2 linked regions of the Tamandua tetradactyla genome follow. The protein of the gene in region 1 purifies or fractionates together with the protein of each later gene. This does not show direct contact. Links are inferred from orthologs where the notes say so. Each region holds a gene or a part of one and is shown in the gene's direction. Other genes may lie near its edges.

What was found.
Region 2: the proteins of ARHGEF7 (region 1) and GIT2 purify together in Homo sapiens (affinity purification with mass spectrometry; 6 studies listed by BioGRID and IntAct, counting the BioPlex papers as one, with this or other methods). This does not show direct contact. The link is inferred for Tamandua tetradactyla from reciprocal best matches to the Homo sapiens genes ARHGEF7 and GIT2.

The regions. Positions count from the first base shown.
Region 1 is NC_135330.1:180,970,029-180,978,545, forward strand, and holds the start of ARHGEF7 (rho guanine nucleotide exchange factor 7), read left to right. Parts: upstream 1-3,757; 5' UTR 3,758-3,997; intron 3,998-4,275; exon of another isoform or gene 4,276-4,389; 5' UTR 4,390-4,789; coding exon 4,790-4,954; intron 4,955-8,517. UniProt on the Homo sapiens protein: Acts as a RAC1 guanine nucleotide exchange factor (GEF) and can induce membrane ruffling. Functions in cell migration, attachment and cell spreading. Promotes targeting of RAC1 to focal adhesions. May function as a positive regulator of apoptosis.
Region 2 is NC_135331.1:21,457,449-21,465,965, forward strand, and holds the start of GIT2 (ARF GTPase-activating protein GIT2), read left to right. Parts: upstream 1-3,384; 5' UTR 3,385-3,535; coding exon 3,536-3,587; intron 3,588-7,412; coding exon 7,413-7,546; intron 7,547-8,517. Other genes in the region: ANKRD13A (ankyrin repeat domain-containing protein 13A), read right to left, coding at 415-510. UniProt on the Homo sapiens protein: GTPase-activating protein for ADP ribosylation factor family members, including ARF1.

The DNA.
Region 1 (8,517 bases):
TAACTTTATGCTTCACAATAGATGATATTGGTAAACTGTTTTCTGATCCTGAGTAATTTTTTCAATCATATATATGTATCTATAAACTTTTTTCTTTCCTTACATCTTTAATATTTACTATTTGGCCATATTTATTCCAAATAAATAGGACACTTTTATAAAATGAATGCTTTTCTGATACATACTTACAGTAGATATGAGTTTTCATAGAACTGCTTTTATCAATTTAGTTGATGGTTCAATTCAGTAAAATCCATTCTGCAGGGAGTCATTACTACACACTCAAGGATAGATATCTCCTTGTCCAGCTTAAGGTTGGGGTAGAACTTAACATATTTATAAGACTATCTTCACAGTCAAGCACAGTGCCTTTCAGCTGAGCTTTTGATAATTATTGGTTTGCATCTAAGTTTTTAGGTGTATTCCTAACAAATATCTGGAATGTGGCTGTCAGGCATGAATAAGCAGCCCAGTTAGGAATAAAGCTGAAATCCTCTCATGAGAGCTGCAAGAACTAAAGAGCATATGCCTGCACCAAAAGCCATTCCATGTTCTTTTGACAGTGAGCCCAAGGAATATCTACAACTCAGGGCCAAAATTTTCCTTAGAAAATAATTTTTATTGGTCCTCACCCAGTGGATCAATGAGTGATGGGCTATAGAGTTTCAATTCCATAGAATATGTCCTCTATAATTGTAACCTGGAAAACTTTTAAGGCAAGCTTAACCAAATGCATACCTTGGATACTAAAATACTTGAATTAAGCACCTAAAAACATTTAGCTTTGAACAGTGTTACTTTCTGGAATGTTTAGTTTGTTAAGCTGCCGGGATGCAACATACCAGAAACATTATGACTTCTAAAAAGAGGAATTTATTAATTTGCAAGTTTACAGTTCTAAGGCATGAAAATGTTCAAATTAAGGCACCAACAAGAGGTTACCTTCTCTCAAGAAAGGCTGATGCCATTCGGAACACCTCTGTTAGCTGGGAAGGCATGTGGCTGGCTGGCATCTGCTGGGGTCTTTGGCTTCTGGACACCTCTGTCAGCTGGGAAGGCTCAGGGCTATGTCTACTAACCTTCTTTCCTGGGCTCTTCAATGGCTTCCCCGGGGGCATTTTCTTTCATCTCCAAAGGTCTCTGGCTGTGTGGGCTCTTGGGCTCTGTTGGCACTGAAGCTTTTTTCAAAATTGTTCCCTTTTAAAGGGCTCCAGTAAGCAACTCTACCTTGAACGAGTAGAGACGCATCTCCATGGAAACCATCTAATCAAAAGGTACCACCCACAATGGGGTGGGTCACATCTCCATGGAAATAATAAAAAAGATCCCATCCAGCAATATTGAATAAGGATGAAAGAATATGGCTTTTCTGGAACATGCAACAGTTTCAAACTTGCATCCCTTCCAAATAAGCTCTTTTTGAAATTAATATACATCCAAGGGAAAAGAATGCCCTTGGTAAATAAAAATGTTTAAAATTTCGGGACCTTCTACAAAACAAAAAACAAAAAACAAAAAACAATATAATTAGCTACCAGCTTCACTGGTCTCCTAAGGCTTCTTCCTAGAGCTTGCTTTTTGTAGAACTATTTTACTGAGTTAATTTGAATCTTACTTTTTTATCAGATTTATAAATGCCAGACCTAATTTAATAGAATAATTGTAATGAAGACATTCTAAATTATTTTTCCAATTCAACAGTAATGAGAGTACATAGGAATCTCAGTGAAAAATTACCCTTGCATTCATATCCTTCTATTGATAAAGACTCTTGGGGCATAAAACTTGATATAGTTTATATTAGTCAGGGTTTTTCAGAGAATCAGAGCCAACAGGATATATGTGTGTATGTGTGTGTTTTCTGTGTATACATATATACAGAAATTTATTTTAAGGAATTGGCTTATGCAATTGTGGGGAATGGCAAGTCTGAATTCTGCAGGATGGAGAAATTACAGTAAGAGTAATAACTGAAGTCTTGAGTTCAAATTTCTTAGGCGAAGCTGACAGACTGGAAATTCTGCAAGATTTGATGTTGGGTCTGAAATTTGTAGGGGAGGCTGGCAGGCAGGAAACTCAGAGAAGTTGAGGGTGTAGTCTTGAAGCAGAATTTCCTCTTTACTTTGGAACCCTCAGTTTACTTTTAATGCTTCCAAATGATTGGATGAGGCTCACCCACATTACCCAGGATAATCTCCTTTACTTAACGTCAGCTAGCACCATCTACAAAATACTTCATGGCAACATCTAAGCCAGTGTTTGATCAAACAGTTGGACACCATAACCTAATCAAGTTACATATAAAATTAACCACCATATAGCTGTTAGCTTCTCTAATGGTCTTCTGAAAGCCTAAAGGAAAGCAATATAGAAAACAGGTTAGGTCCATCAGTTCTGGAGCCAGATAGCTTGGATTTGAATCCATCTCTACCTCTTACTGCATGTGTGACCTCGGACAATGATTTCATTTCTGTAGGCTGCATTTCCTCTTCTGTAAAATGGGGATAATGAGAGTAATTTCATAAGGTTGTGTTAATGATTTCGTGACATAATACAATTAGAGCAGTTGACACAGTACTTGGCATTTAGTGAGCAAATGGTAGCTATTATCACCAAATATTAGTTACCTTCATAACCCAGAATTGATAATGTTATTGAATTATCTTATGTTTCTATTTGGAAAGCAAACTGGTTAAGAAAGCTGGAATATATGCAATTAATGATTGCACAGAAACACTCTCGATGAAAGCAGAAAAAGAGGAGGAAGAGTTAAGCCTCTTTACTTTCTAAAATAATAAAACTTTATATAATTTCTAGCTCTTCTCGCTAAATGTATTAATATGTGTGCCTGAAACACAGTACCCTTTCTATAAGCGATTGATAATATCATTTTAAACTATCGTGGAAGTAAAGGCAAAGAAAGAGGGAAAGCACTGACAACTCATGCAGATGAAATAAATGAAAGTAAATGTAGCAATGAAATCTCCTTACATACTGTCCTGTTTTTAAAAGAAGCTCTATTTCTTCTTCAGGATATAAATATGAGTTGTTTGAAAAAACTCGTTTATTACACTACGGTTTGAGGTCCGAATTCCTTAAGTTAGACCTGTACGTGTCCATAGACCTGTGTCTAATTGAGGCTCTTTTTACTCATATATAATCCAACTAAGTGCCTAATTTGAGCTGTTTACATTTTCCTTCGTAATAATCTACGTAGATCCGTTTTAGGTGTTATTTTCTTGACTTTCCTCTAACAGTGTTTGTAACGTCACCATTAATTTAAAGTGGAGTGATTCCAAGGTTTCTGGACTACGAACATTCTCTCCCCAAATGGCCCGTACGTACGTATATTTAGCCACCCTCCTTCCAGAATTTGGTGAGGTCACCAGCCGTCTTAACCAACCTTCCACTAGGGGGCACACGAAACCAAGCAGCATAGCGTTAAATTGCTGTTCACGTTTAAAAGGACTAGCAGCAGCGTTAGGAAAATCAATCCCTTCCTGAATTAGACCCATCTGGTTACATACTTAATTATAATTTATGTTCCCGTAATTATTGTATTGGAAGGTGGCGGTGGCGAAGAGAGACGAATGTCTCTTTTTCAGGACACCCCCTCTCCCCCGCCCTTGAAATCAAACTGGCAAAAATAAAAAGAGAATTCTGGGAAATATTTAATAATTGAAACATTCATGTTTAAAAATAAATAAATAAAACTTTATGAGTCCTCTAAGGAAGGGAGTGGGGCGGAGGAAGGGACAGAAGAGCGAAAAAAGTCAAGTGAGGCTCTTCCAACCAGATGGTGTCTGCTTAATAGACCCGGAGCAGAAGCGCAAATGGTTAACATATTGTGTAGAGGGAAACCGCACATGGCCGCGTGGGGGAAGGGAGGCCGCGCGAGCCTTCGTTGGTAAAACCACCTCCGCGAGTGAGACTGAATCCGGTCTTCTAGAGGTCAAAAGGACTTCTCGGGGCTGTCGCTTACTTAACAGCTGTCCAGGTAAGGACGTGCGCGCGCGCACACACATGCATAGGAGAATAATGGTGAGAATGGTCATTGAAGGGTGTCTAGATGGATGACTGTATCTAAATTCTCACATAAATGCACCTGTAAGTGGATCCACATGTGCAAAACCATATGCTCCAAGGCTTTACATTAACGGTTTATTCCTTGTGTCATTCGTGAAATTCTGGTGTGGGTTACATTTATATCATGCTCAAAGCCTGCGCAAAACCGCACGCAGCGTGTCCATTTGTCCGCGCGGCCCCGGCCCGTACCTAGAACAAGGCGAACCCATCTGTCGTGCGCAGCGGTGGCGGCTGGAACACGCCGAGGCGATGACAGGATGTAGAGCCGCTTGCAAACGGCATCTTCTTTTCTTCTTATTTCAGTGATGTCATTGGGCTACAGCAGCTGAGCGAGCAGGAGGAGGAGGAGGCGGAGGCGCCCCGGCTGCCGCCGCCGCCGCCGCCGCTGCAGGTTCATGTGCATATAATGAAAAGGCACTTGACAGTCTGCCAAAACGCACGCCAGGGAGAGGGAGCGAAACTGGACCTACTGGATTTCGCAAAGCCAATCGTCATCATCTGCATCTACATGGGGAAGGAGGAGGAGGAGGAGGAGGAGGTGGGATCAGAAGCTCCAGCCTCGGCTGCTCCAATGTGAAACCACGAGCAAAAAAGGGGGATCAGAAAAAGCAACGGAGAGCGAGCGAGGAGGGAAAGGTTGCTCCGTGTGCGGTATCCCCCCCCTTCCTTCCCCCTGCGGATTTCTCCTCCTCTTCGGGCAGCTATGAATTCCGCTGAACAGACCGTTACGTGGCTCATTACCTTGGGGGTGCTGGAGTCGCCCAAAAAAACCATCTCGGACCCAGAGGGCTTTTTGCAGTCGTCTCTCAAAGATGGGGTGGTCCTCTGCAGGCTGCTGGACCGCCTGCTCCCTGGGACCATAGAGAAAGTAAGTGCTATTTCAGCCCGCGCGCGGCCCCCGGCCCCCCCACCGCGCCCCCGCCTGGCCGCAGTCGCCGACCCCGGGGCGCCAGGCGGCACCCCACCCCTAGGCTTGACCCCTGCGCTCCGACGCCCACGCGCCCGCCTCCTGCCTGCGTGGTCCCGGGCACAAAGCTCAGGACCCCTGGGCCCCGGCCGCTGAGGCCCGAGATGGGCAGACGAGTGCCGGGACGCGGGAACCGCCTTGCGCCTTGGCACCTGGTTGACCCGCGCGGCAGTACCAGCCGCCCACCTCTGCCCAGAGGAAAAGGTGACGCGCAGGCAGGAAGCCTACGCACTTTCCTTTGTGCGCGGATCCCCCCTGGAAGTCCGGTTCGCGCCGGGAAAGCGCGGACGCATCTCCGCCGCGCACGGCGCTCCCCGCCCGACCGACCGTGAGGACCCGAGTAGCGGGAGCTCGGAGGGCGCCATTGTGTGCAGAGTGTGGAGTGGCGGGCCCGAGCCGGGCGGGGGGCTCCGTGGCCGCGCGCGGGGGGTGGGCGGGAGCCTGGGGCCGCTGCAAAGGGGACGGATCCCGCAGGCGGGCGCAGCCCCAGTGTCTTCTCCCGGTCCGATTTCGAAGGTTAGAACAGTTCTCTACACAAGAAGAAATCGGATTTTCTGTTCCGTTCTAATATTAAGTTGCTCCTCGGGTGTCGTGAGGTCTGTCTGCTCAGATCCCTTACAGTGACCTAATCAGAAAAGCTCGTTCCAACACCATGCACAGTTTTCTCCGATGGCTTTGTTTGGATAATTTTTCGTTGGTGGGGATATTGCAGTAGTTTCATCATTTTTCTGTTTAATTGACCAATTCCTATGCATTTTTTGAAGGTACATTCGTCAATAGCTGAGAGCTGAGCTGTGAAATGATTTACTACTTTCCCAAAGAAAGAATTCCTCATGTATTCCAATCCATGTGGATTGCAATCACTTAAGTTAAAAAGCCCTGGCATTCTTCAGAATTTGTTCAAAATACAAGATTTTATTTTCAGATTTCTACCTGATTCTGAACAGATCCAGAGTCCTGGAGTATTGCTTCTCCCTACTCCTGTCTAGTGGTTTCCCTAGGGATAAAGTGTGAACCTTGACCTGTATTTCTGTGAGTGATTAAAGTTTGTTTTCATCTCTACAAGCTGACAAAGCATGGGTGAGGGGATATGAAATCTTTTAAAAACTATATATCCTGCTATTTAAAAAATACTACAATTTTATTCCAAAATTTTTTTTGCCAGGGTATAATTTAAGATGAATCTTTTTAGAGATTATTTTTAAAATATTAAGTATGGAAGTTGGAGCGCACTATAATTTGGAGGAACAATTTCATTTTTTGTGGAGTTTTTAGCCCCTACAAACCAAGACAATTTTTTTTCCAAAGACGATTTTTAATAATAAAAAAGTTAATAAAATGACTTGAAAAAGTAAAACGTTTATCCTCATTCATAAATTTGCATATGTTCTGGGATTACATTTTGAAGGCCAGAAAAATTTTATTTAGCATAATAATTTTAGATGCTTTTCTTACGGGTAACATATTTGTGAACACAGAATGTGCACTTTAGAGTTAATACCTGCCTGCTTGTCCATGAAATAAAAATGTTGCTTCTAGATGAATCTGATGTCACGATAAAATTATGATTTAAAATGAGAATTACAAGCAGGATCTATGATTTTTTTTTTTTTTCGCATGGGCAGGCACCGGGAATCGAACCCCGGTCTCTGCATGCAACAAGCAGGATCTAATTTTCAGGGCTCTCAAAATACTTTGTTGTCATCTGAATATCAGTATTTCTGGTAATAAAAGTCAGAGTTGAAAAGCTTTTTGAAAATGCACAGTTTACCAAAGTAGATGTCAATAAAATATTGTTCCATTTCTAAGAATGGAGTTTTAAGAAACTTGATATGCTGTGTTGCTAAAAATAGCAACTCAATGCATGTGCTATTTGGTATACTATTGATTGGTAGACTTCAATAGTCATTTTCTTTTAAATTTTAGAAAGACTTTCTTAGAAAATGGTAGCAGTCCTCTCATCTCTAAAACAACAAAGAACACTGTGAATGTTTACTTTGCAGAAAACAACCCAACATAATCTAAAACTATAGTCATTTGTAAGTTTCTTATATTGAAGCTATTAATTCCTTTTTCCCTGAGCCCCAAATGTTTTTTTTAAAAACTGATTTTATCGCAATGAAAGGTTAATATCAAAGTAGCAAATTATAGACAGAGCCACTAATTCTCAAAGGTTCAAAGGTAGGTTTTCAGGGTAAAATATTAGTCATTCTCTGCCTCCAAAAAACACCTGGGTTTCAGAAGAGTCATGAGCTTTTTCCATTTCCTAAAAGAGTTATCTGTTTGAACTTTCCAACGTTTGCATGCATACCAAATAATATATGCCACAAAGCACAAACTCTGAACAACTTTTACTTGAATGTGGAAATGTGAGGAAGAAGACATTTTTCCTTAAAAAGAGACAGTTGGAAACTTAACTGAATACTCATATGAAATTTAAAGAATCTTAACTTTACCCCTGTTTGCCACAAGAACACGTTGACAGCTAGTTAATAAAGCAGCCTGTAACTTAACACTTGCAAATTCAAATTTAAAATGAACCATTGGACTGGGGATGAGGGCAGAATTTAGGAGAGTTAAGCTGGCTCAGGTTTCTTATGTCATAAATGAAGAAAAACATTTCCTAATATGTTTCTTCCATTATGTTCATTTGTTCTATTTTAGATCTGGTAGAAGGATGGAGGGAACTAAGAGGACATTCATTTAGTTTCACATTGTTTTATTCATTAACATTTTTTTTTCATTTAAGTTCTCTTTTATGCAGTTCTCCTGCTTTTCTTTAAATTGGAAAGTAAGACAGTAGGAAGAGGAAATTATAAACTTTACATGAACAGTTCAGAAGAAAGATACTTTTCATCATTATGTTTTTTTGCTATAGATAGGAGAAAAAAATTGTGGTTAAAATATCTCCATGTTTTCCAGCAATGGCCAGGATGTATTGCTGAACTACTTGTTCTAATCTTTTTCCTCATACCTCCTGTGATCAAAAACACACAACGGCCATAAAATCTAGTGAGCATCCAACCGTCCTTTAGCCCTATTAACACTGTTTTCATAAATTAACACTTTAAACATCCATGGATTATTTAATCAAAAGCGGTGAAATCAAGATACAGGAATCTTAGAGGATGAAAAATCACCATTACAATAATAAGACACATATTAAAATAATGGAAATCATGAAATGCTGTTTTAATTTTACTTGCAAATGCAGAGGATGGGAGCCACTTAATCCACTATGAAAAACTCAAGTCTTTGAGACACTTGATTTCTTTCTCTCTCTGTTCCAGAACAGAATGCACAGAATTTTCCCCAGGTAAACCATATAATGTGCTCCAGAGAAGATGCTGGATTAGTATTTGTGGCGTGTACATGAAAGATACTATTCTGGTCTTGCTAGGTGTCCTCTGTGTGTGTGTGCGTGTGTGTGTGTGCACGCTCACGCGTACGCATGTATTTAAACT
Region 2 (8,517 bases), on another chromosome or scaffold:
GTGTCATTTTCAGTCTTTGAGAGGCAGTAGAGCCTATTGGTTAAAAGGGACCACTCTGGAACCAGCCAGCCTGCCTTAAAATCCCGACTTGGTATTTAAGAGCCAGACGACCTTGCACATAACCTCTGAGAGCCTCAGTTTCCTTCTCTGTCAAACGGAATAATAATCGTACCTATTTACCTCCCAAGGGTTGGAGAGGTTAAAAAAAGATCATGTATAAAGCCCTCGGCACAGGGCCTGGCACACAGTAAGCACTCAATACATGTCCTACTATTATTACAATGATCGGACCACGAGTGCAGAGTTGAAAGGGTCAGCGGGGCCAGGGGGTTGGGGGCTGGAAATGGGTTCAACGAGGCGAATCGACCCCCGCCTTCTCCCCTTCGGGCCACGGCCGGCCGCCCAGTCCCTCACCTGGCCCCGCAGCTCCTTCTCCAGCTGCCGGTAGTCGTTGTTCCAGACTAGAAGGTGCAGAGGGAAGTGGCTGCCGTCGTCGTGGGCCGAAGACATGGCGAGGAGACCTCAGAGGGCCCTCGCCGCCCGTTCACTGAGGTCTTGGCCCCGGCGGGGTCTCCGGGGTCCGTCCGTCCGCCCGGCCGGCAGCCAGCGAGCGAGAGAACCAGGCGAGCGAGCGAGGGGCGCGCTGCTCGGCCGGGTGGCCTAGAGAGCCAGGAGCGGGGCGCACGGCAGGTCGGGGGTCGCGGGCCGGGTCGGGGACCAGGTCGGCCGCGCCCACCCCGCGCCCCGCCGCGCTCCCGCCGGCGTTGACAGCTCGCGAACCGACTTCGGGGCCGAACTGTCCCAAACAGGGAAGTGCGGGGAGCGAACCACTGCGCGCTGCGGCAGGGGGAGCGAAGCCAGGGACCCGGCCGGGTGTCCTCTCGACCCCATTACCCCCTAACTGCACACCGGAAAACTCAATACCAACGTCTACACGGAGCTAGAATTCCCTCTCTTGGCCCGAAGTCTTAATAAGGAAAAATCGGTCTATCCGTCTCTAGCCTCGTCCCCCCTGCTTTATCTACCCACAGTTGTGCGCTCCACAACTGGGCCGCTTCCATTGGCTCTGCGATGGGGGGGGGGTGTCTGAGTGGCCTGGACTAAACCATCCCCTTGCAGCCTTTTTGGACCAGGGCAGAAGCTTCTATGATTTGTCAGTAGCCATTTTGGAAGTGGGCAACACCAAAAATAGTTGTAAAGGGAGAACTATAAACCCTGGGAAAGTGGCATCTAATATTTGCATAATAGAAGCATAGTTCTATCTCAAGGTTTCTCAACCTCAGCACATTTGGGGCCAGATAATTCTTTGTTTGAGGTCCTTTCCTGTGTTTTGTAGGATATTGAGTAGCTTCCCTCTTCTCTATCCACTGGTGGCCAATTTAGCACCCTTCAAAATTTTTTTCGCCAAACATCCCCTGGGGGATCAATGTCGCCCCCAGCTGAGAACCACTGTCTATATGAACTCCAAATTTGGTTATGATTCAAAAATATCTGTGGCACACTAATACAAGGTGTTAATAATAGAGTGGTTTATGGGAACTCTATATTTTATGCATGATTTTTCTGTAAATCTACAACTTCTCTAATTAAAAAAAGAAAAAAGAAAGAACCTGTGCTGGTAGTTTACTTCACATATGACTGTTATTTTTTTTTTTTTCATGGGCAGGCAGACACGCAGGAATCGAATCCAGGTCACCAGTATGGCAGACAAGAACTCTGTCTGCTGAGCCACCGTGGCCTGCCTGAAGCTAACCATTTGGATTTGTAATTATGGCTGGAAGGGTGCATATATAATACTTAGACTTTACCACAATCTGCAAATATGAAGTTCATCCTTGGATTTCAACTTCAGACACTGTATCTTCTTGAATCAATAAAGAACCAAGTCAGCTTATAGCTACTAACCAGCCTGAGCTCCATGCTGCTGCTGCTGCTGCTGCTACTGCTCAATTGTCTACAACTACACAACCTAGCTCAGCAAAGTTATTCAATGCATCCTAAAAGCATCCTCTCTGCCTTTCCTGCCTGTGCACAACCAGCTTTTCAGATGTCTGCAACGACAGCTGTTCGAGAATTCTGGGCTAATCCATTCTCCACATGTGTTGAACCCAGATGATTTGTGAGTCGGGGAACCAAAACAGGAAACAAGAGCATCAAGATAGCACCCATAGATTCAGACTGTGGAATGTGCAGGAACTGTGTGGCTATTTCCACATCACACATTTATCAAACTGGAGAGATGGATCCTGGGTCATGCTTCTGAGGCCTTTTCCAGGACTTCTTTTCTTTTCAGAAGCCTCATACAACTTAATTTCATTCTCTCCATCATCCCATGTTAATTGAACATCTCTCCTATCTCAGTCTGAAAACCCCACAGTGGTAGGGACCACTTCTGTTTTGTTCACCAGACTACCTGAAGCCAAAACAGTACCTGGCCCATCATGGGCATCCAATATTTGCTAAATGGAGATTATAATCCTGTTTGCATGTAACATATACAATAAATGTTCATTAGCGTTAGGCTCACATCTCTTCTCTCCTTCACACTAATTAACCTCACTTCATTGTGTTTATCTCACACCATCCTATAAATTACTTTCCTTCAGGATTCTTATTCTCAAATTCCAAGTATATGAAGAAGAGCAGTGATTAGAAAATAATAAAATACCAATAATAGTGGTGGTTACTATCTATTGCGGGTTTCCTATGGGGCAGGCACAACATGCTTCTTCATAAATTACTCCATTTGTCCTTGGCCAGATAATAAATATTCACGTTTTGTGGGTCACATTGTAGTTCTGTTGCATATTCTTCCTCTTCCTCTTCTTTCTCCTTTTTCTTCTCCTTAAAACCTTTTAAAAAGGTGAAGACTATTCTTAGGTAGCAAGCCGTATAAAAACAAATCGTGGACTCCGTTTTGCAGATGAGATTAAAACTGAATTCTAAAGATGAAAGCATCTAACATATTCTATACTTGACTTATTTTATTGCAGATCAACCTCAATAGAATGTAACATCCATAAGTACAGGAAATTTTGTCTGCTTTGCTCACTGCTGTTTCTCTCGTTCCTGACAATGTTTGGCACATAGCTGGGCTCAATAAGTATTTGTTGACTGAATGAATGAACTCGGCCAATGTTACAGTAAATGGCCACCGATTGTCTCAGGAAGGTTGTGGCTGCAGCGCTCTAGTCATTAGATTTTGCTGCTTCCCCTGGTATTTATCGGTGCTGCGAGGAGGCATATCTCTTCCAGGGGGACCTAAATTCAAGATTTAGAAGTAAAGCGAAAGATGCTGGGGAGGAGCCTGCCCTTACTCAAGATGGCGACAAGGCAGCGTGCCCTGTCCGGTCACATGACCTATATCGCCGAAGGGAGCCTCCTTGCGCCTGCGTGCTGCGCCGCTATTCCGAGTCGCTGAGGGGAGAGGCGCCACCGCTAGCGCCGCCGCAGGGACCCGTTAAGCGGAAGCGCTCCTGCCGCCGCCTTAGGTGTCCCGGGGCCCCTAGCTCCTGACGCGTGGGAGGCGGGAGCCATGTCGAAGCGGCTCCGGAGCAGCGAGGTGTGCGCTGACTGCAGCGGGCCGGGTGAGTCGCACCGGCCGGGCCCGCTCCCCTCCTCTCCTGGCCGGGACCCCTGCCCCGGGCCGCCCCCTCGGGTCCGGCAGGTCCCCGCCGGCGAGCCCCGCGCCCCTCGGCCGTGGTCGCAGCGAAGGGGAACCGAAGGCGGCTCTGGGGCAGGGCTTGTTCCAGGCCTGTCAGAGTCGGACGGGGCGGGGGCCGCCCCCTCCCTTCCTTCCCTTCCCTCTCACACCACCAACACCTCCCCCCCCCCCCCCCCCCGCCCATTCCCCTTCATCCCAGACCGGTGGTGGGGGCGGGGGCTGGGGCCGGGCCCTCTCCCCTAACAGGAAGGGGCTTGGGCAAGCCACAGGAAAACCAATTACAGAAGTAAACTGCGAACGTCTTCGCGGATGCGGCCCCCAGAAGCTGCAGGTGTCACCCCCACCGGTCACCCTGTCCCTCGCCCGGGGTGGGCGACACTCGCGGCTTCCTTCACCAAGGCACGTCGAGGGGCCTCTGGGGCAGATGACTTCCTGGCTTTTGACATCCCGCTCCCACTCCACGGGGGAGAATCCAGGACGTTGAGGGCCGGCAGCGCCAGGCAGCGCCTGGGAAACAGTGCCTGTCTCGAGTTTGGGAGCTGAACAGCCTGGGTTCAAACCTGGTTTTCCCAAGGGTGACCTTGGACTGGTGACTTTGTTTGGCCAAACCTCGATTTCCTTATTTTTCCGATGGGGAAAATTGGGAGTACTGTGCTCAGGGGCTAGGAAGATTCAGTAAATGTTCTTATGATCCTGTTAAAGTTTTTTGTTCTTTTTTGTATTATGTTCTTCAGTACGGAACCCTCATAATCTCTTAAAACTAGATTTAATTCCTAAGTCATATATTAATTACAGCTTACCAAGTAAACACAAAATCACTCGGCAGAATACACATCTGAGTATTATTCAGGGACTGTAAGCATGTTGTGGCTATTAAAAGGCCGAAGCCATTTCCACCTATGTGCACTTTTCAGATTTAGGGTTCCGAGCTGTCTTTGCAATTGGAACTGAATTGTCAGGTCTCTATGGTTAGATTATTATATGCTATTTTCAGTGCTTGCATTTATCTATGTTGTGTTTGAAGTAATTCAAAAGTCAGATGGTTGACTTGGCACAATAGCACCCAAGAAACAGTGTTAATGAAATCATAAACATGTTTTTGCAACTGTTTTGAACTTCATCTTGTGATTTGGAAGTTGAGACTGATTTTAAATTGTACTGTGATAACTCAAACCTACGTGGTTGTGTCATGGCCTGTACAATGCAACCAGGATTACCAGTTTCCTTTAAAGACGGGAAGAGGGGTAAAAGGGTTTAAAAAGAGATGCTTCATAATCAAGTTAGGGTGGGTTATATAAACTCCATTTTTATTCTCTAAAAGTGTTATTTGTTCCGCTTCCTTCTTTTCTTGCCTGTTTTCAGTTGAACTTTCAGAGATGTGTTTGATTCACGTGTCTAGCATCAAACTTCCTCTTAGAATGAGTATTCTTTACTTCTCAAAAGACGCTGTGGGGCTAAGGGGAGTTGCTTCTCCGTTGCTGCCCCGAGACTGCTTTTCACTTTGTGGCGTTTTGTACATTTCAGAACATTTTCTCTTCCATTGTATCATTTTAGCTGTTGTTTCATATGCATAGTCTACAGAGACTTGAGTCACTTCCTTCCTGTTTTGAGTATAATTAGGCTACCTTGAACTGTTCTGTGAACTTGAGCAGCTAGGAATTTGTGCTTCTTTTCTGCAAAACTCTGGTGAAAGAATTACCTTTCCATTGAGGAACCCCTTTGAGAATCTGATGAAAGCAAAGACGCCACTCCCCAGAAAATGCACTGGTATTCACACTCTCACACAGATTTTACTTAGGATTTCTCACTCGAGTTACAGACAATTCTGAAACCCATTTGTGGTGTCCATGAACCCTGTATAAGAAGCCCTGACATAAAATATCCAGATAAGCTGGAAGGGTTTTGCCCAACTTCATTCATGCAAACTTGATTTTGATTTTACTATGTTGTGACATTCTAGTATTCTTTCCCCAGGATTCTGGTACATGATGTTAAAATGATCATTTGAGAACCTTGCTTAAGGTGTGTTAAATCCTCACTGTCTTGGTGCTGTTTAATTTCCTCCAAGAATACTGTAAATCATCTGGGTGATACATGAAAATCAAAGCTATGCTTCAAAGCAAATAGGTTTTTATGGTCATTAACAGTAGTACCAGACTGCAAAAAAAAAAATGTTCCTATATATCATTTTAAATAACCCTCATCTTGATATCTTCAATCCTTGCTCAGTATAGTAGTACTGAGAGAGTTATGCATCCTTGAATTACTTTGTTTCTGTTTTGTTTTAGGGCAAACATTTAGCCACAATGACTTCTTAAATATTTCACTTATCTTAATGAATCTAGTTAGTTTTAAAATACGTCATACTCTGAGTGCAATTACCTGAAAAATCTGGTGAGATTTTCACTATACTGTACTATAGTAGTACAGTATTCACATGAAGCATTCACTGTTTTTTAAGTATTTCTAATCAAAAACTTTTCCCAGTGATCATGAATTTCAGTAGGTTCTTGAAGATATCTGAATGCTGTTTAGAAAAGATATAACAACTAACATCACTGAGTACTTACTATGCACCCATTACTTATTCTTTTCTACCCCGAAATGTAGGTATCATTACCATTTGACCCATGGTGAAGAGACTCAAAAGAAGTAACTTGCCCGAGGATATTGTACCACAAGTGGCAGAATTGGGGCTCAAACCCTGGCCTGCTTGTCTCTGGAGCCAACCTTCTTAACCATCATACTTTCAAACCCCTAGGGTTTGTCTTTGATTGAAATACCGTAATTTTTCTGTATATGGTTTGAAAGAGCTTGAATAAACTGTTAAAATGATTAAGATGTTTGTGGACATTGAAAAATTTCTAAGTATAACCCTTAGACCTGGTAGTTTGAGTGGCACCTCACTTCATTGTGATGGAATGTATATCTTCCTTTAATTTAGATTTCTGCGTGCTCGGTTTACTTACTCGGATCCATTTTGTTTGCCACATGTGTATGAGTCCTTGTTTCAAAGGCTGTCTAATAAAGTTCTCCTGAGACTTCATAGGAGAAAAATACTGTATGCACACCAAAAATATTGCCCGTTTTTATTTTGCATCTTCATCTCTGTGAAATGACTTAGTACAGTTTATGTTCTTTCAGATGAGTTGGAGGGTTGGATTTGTGAGTAGTTTATTTAAAACAACTAAGGGAAATCATAGAATGTTTCCCAGTGGAGGAGGCCAGGTTTCCCAATCTGTCCTCAGAACCGTAACAGCTGAGCGATTTTATAGTTCTCTCACTCACAGCTTTCTCTTAAGCATATGGGCATGTAGATTTGTAAATTAGAGTAGCAGTCCTTTTTGCAGTTTACTTCAGGTAATGTTATGCTTCTAACTCACTGTCAAAATTTTATTATCTGGCCATTTGTGGAGATGGATTTGAAAAGAGTCATCTGCACCCTCTTAATTTACTTTTCTTACATTGAATGAAAGAACATCCTAATGTGGTGTAGATAACACATTATGACTACAAGCTGTGGTCCTGAGCCAGAAAAGAGAGAACTGTTTATTTAGGGATTCAAGTCGTGTTTTTAGTATCAGTTAACATGGTACATAATCAGCCATAATAGATGGTGTCATCAGCAGAATCACCAGCTTGATATGTCGTTGGCATTTGGAAACACAAACCTCAGTCATCTTTTGCTCTCTGACCTTATAGCAACCAACTGGCATCCTCACCTCTGGAATTTCATTTTACTTTCCAGATCCTTCCTGGGCATCAGTAAACAGGGGGACTTTCATATGTGATGAGTGCTGCAGTGTCCATCGGAGTCTGGGACGCCACATCTCTCAAGTCAAGCATCTTAAACACACACCATGGCCTCCCACATTGCTTCAGGTAAAGGACAAGAATTCTTCTCACAGCTTGTAATTTAAGTTTTTTTGGCTTCATGTTTTAGCAAATAAAATTTCCTCTAGTGTACTTTTTAAATCTCTCAAAAATATTTGAATAGCAGTTTAATAGAGGAGCTGAACCAGTCAGTGCTATATATAAGTATTATCTAAATTGAGTTCATTATTTAAGATTCTTTTCCCCTCCTCTACATCAATCTGGCCCCAGAAGCTCAATTAGTGATAGATAGATAATTAAAAATTCTTTGGTAGCATTTCAGGGTGACTTTTTAAACTGTCACTAGAAATTGTTTTTTTTAAATAGTCCCATCTATTCCACTTACCATGATAAATGTTTCTGATAGCTACTGCCTTAGAAAGTTTTCACTGATGTACTTATTCCTGAGTACCTGCTATTATTTTTAGATTTTTTTCCTGCTTTTATAGAAGCATGAACTGGGATCTCTCAAATTTCAGAAATATGGAAGCTTTCTGAAAGTTCTCGTTAATAGGCAGAGATCAAATTAAGTTAACGTATTTTGAATGCGTGCCTGACACTCTGCTAATTGTTAAAAGGACTTCTGGATTTCTTTGAAGTCAAATGTCATGTCACTTATATTTCTATTTTGGAGTACACATTCTTCAGGTTCTGCTGGAATTCAGAATTAAGCATGTGTTTTACCTTCATTTGTCTTGTGGGCACATTTTACTAAATTTATGGCAGCTGCACAAAATGCCCCTTAGAATTTGCCTCTATGAACAAGTAGATTTGGATCTCTCATGTGAAAATATCCCCACTAATGTTAAAAACAGATGGGACCAGGTTGCCGTGTCAGGAGCTGTGCTTTGAAATGAAACTGGGAGATAGGGTTTATTGATAACTTTGACTTATATGTTTCTAAGAGTCCATTCTCCTGTGAAAGTATTTCCTGATCCCAGGCCTGTCTGTGTTTACACAGCCTTACTATGTTATAGGAT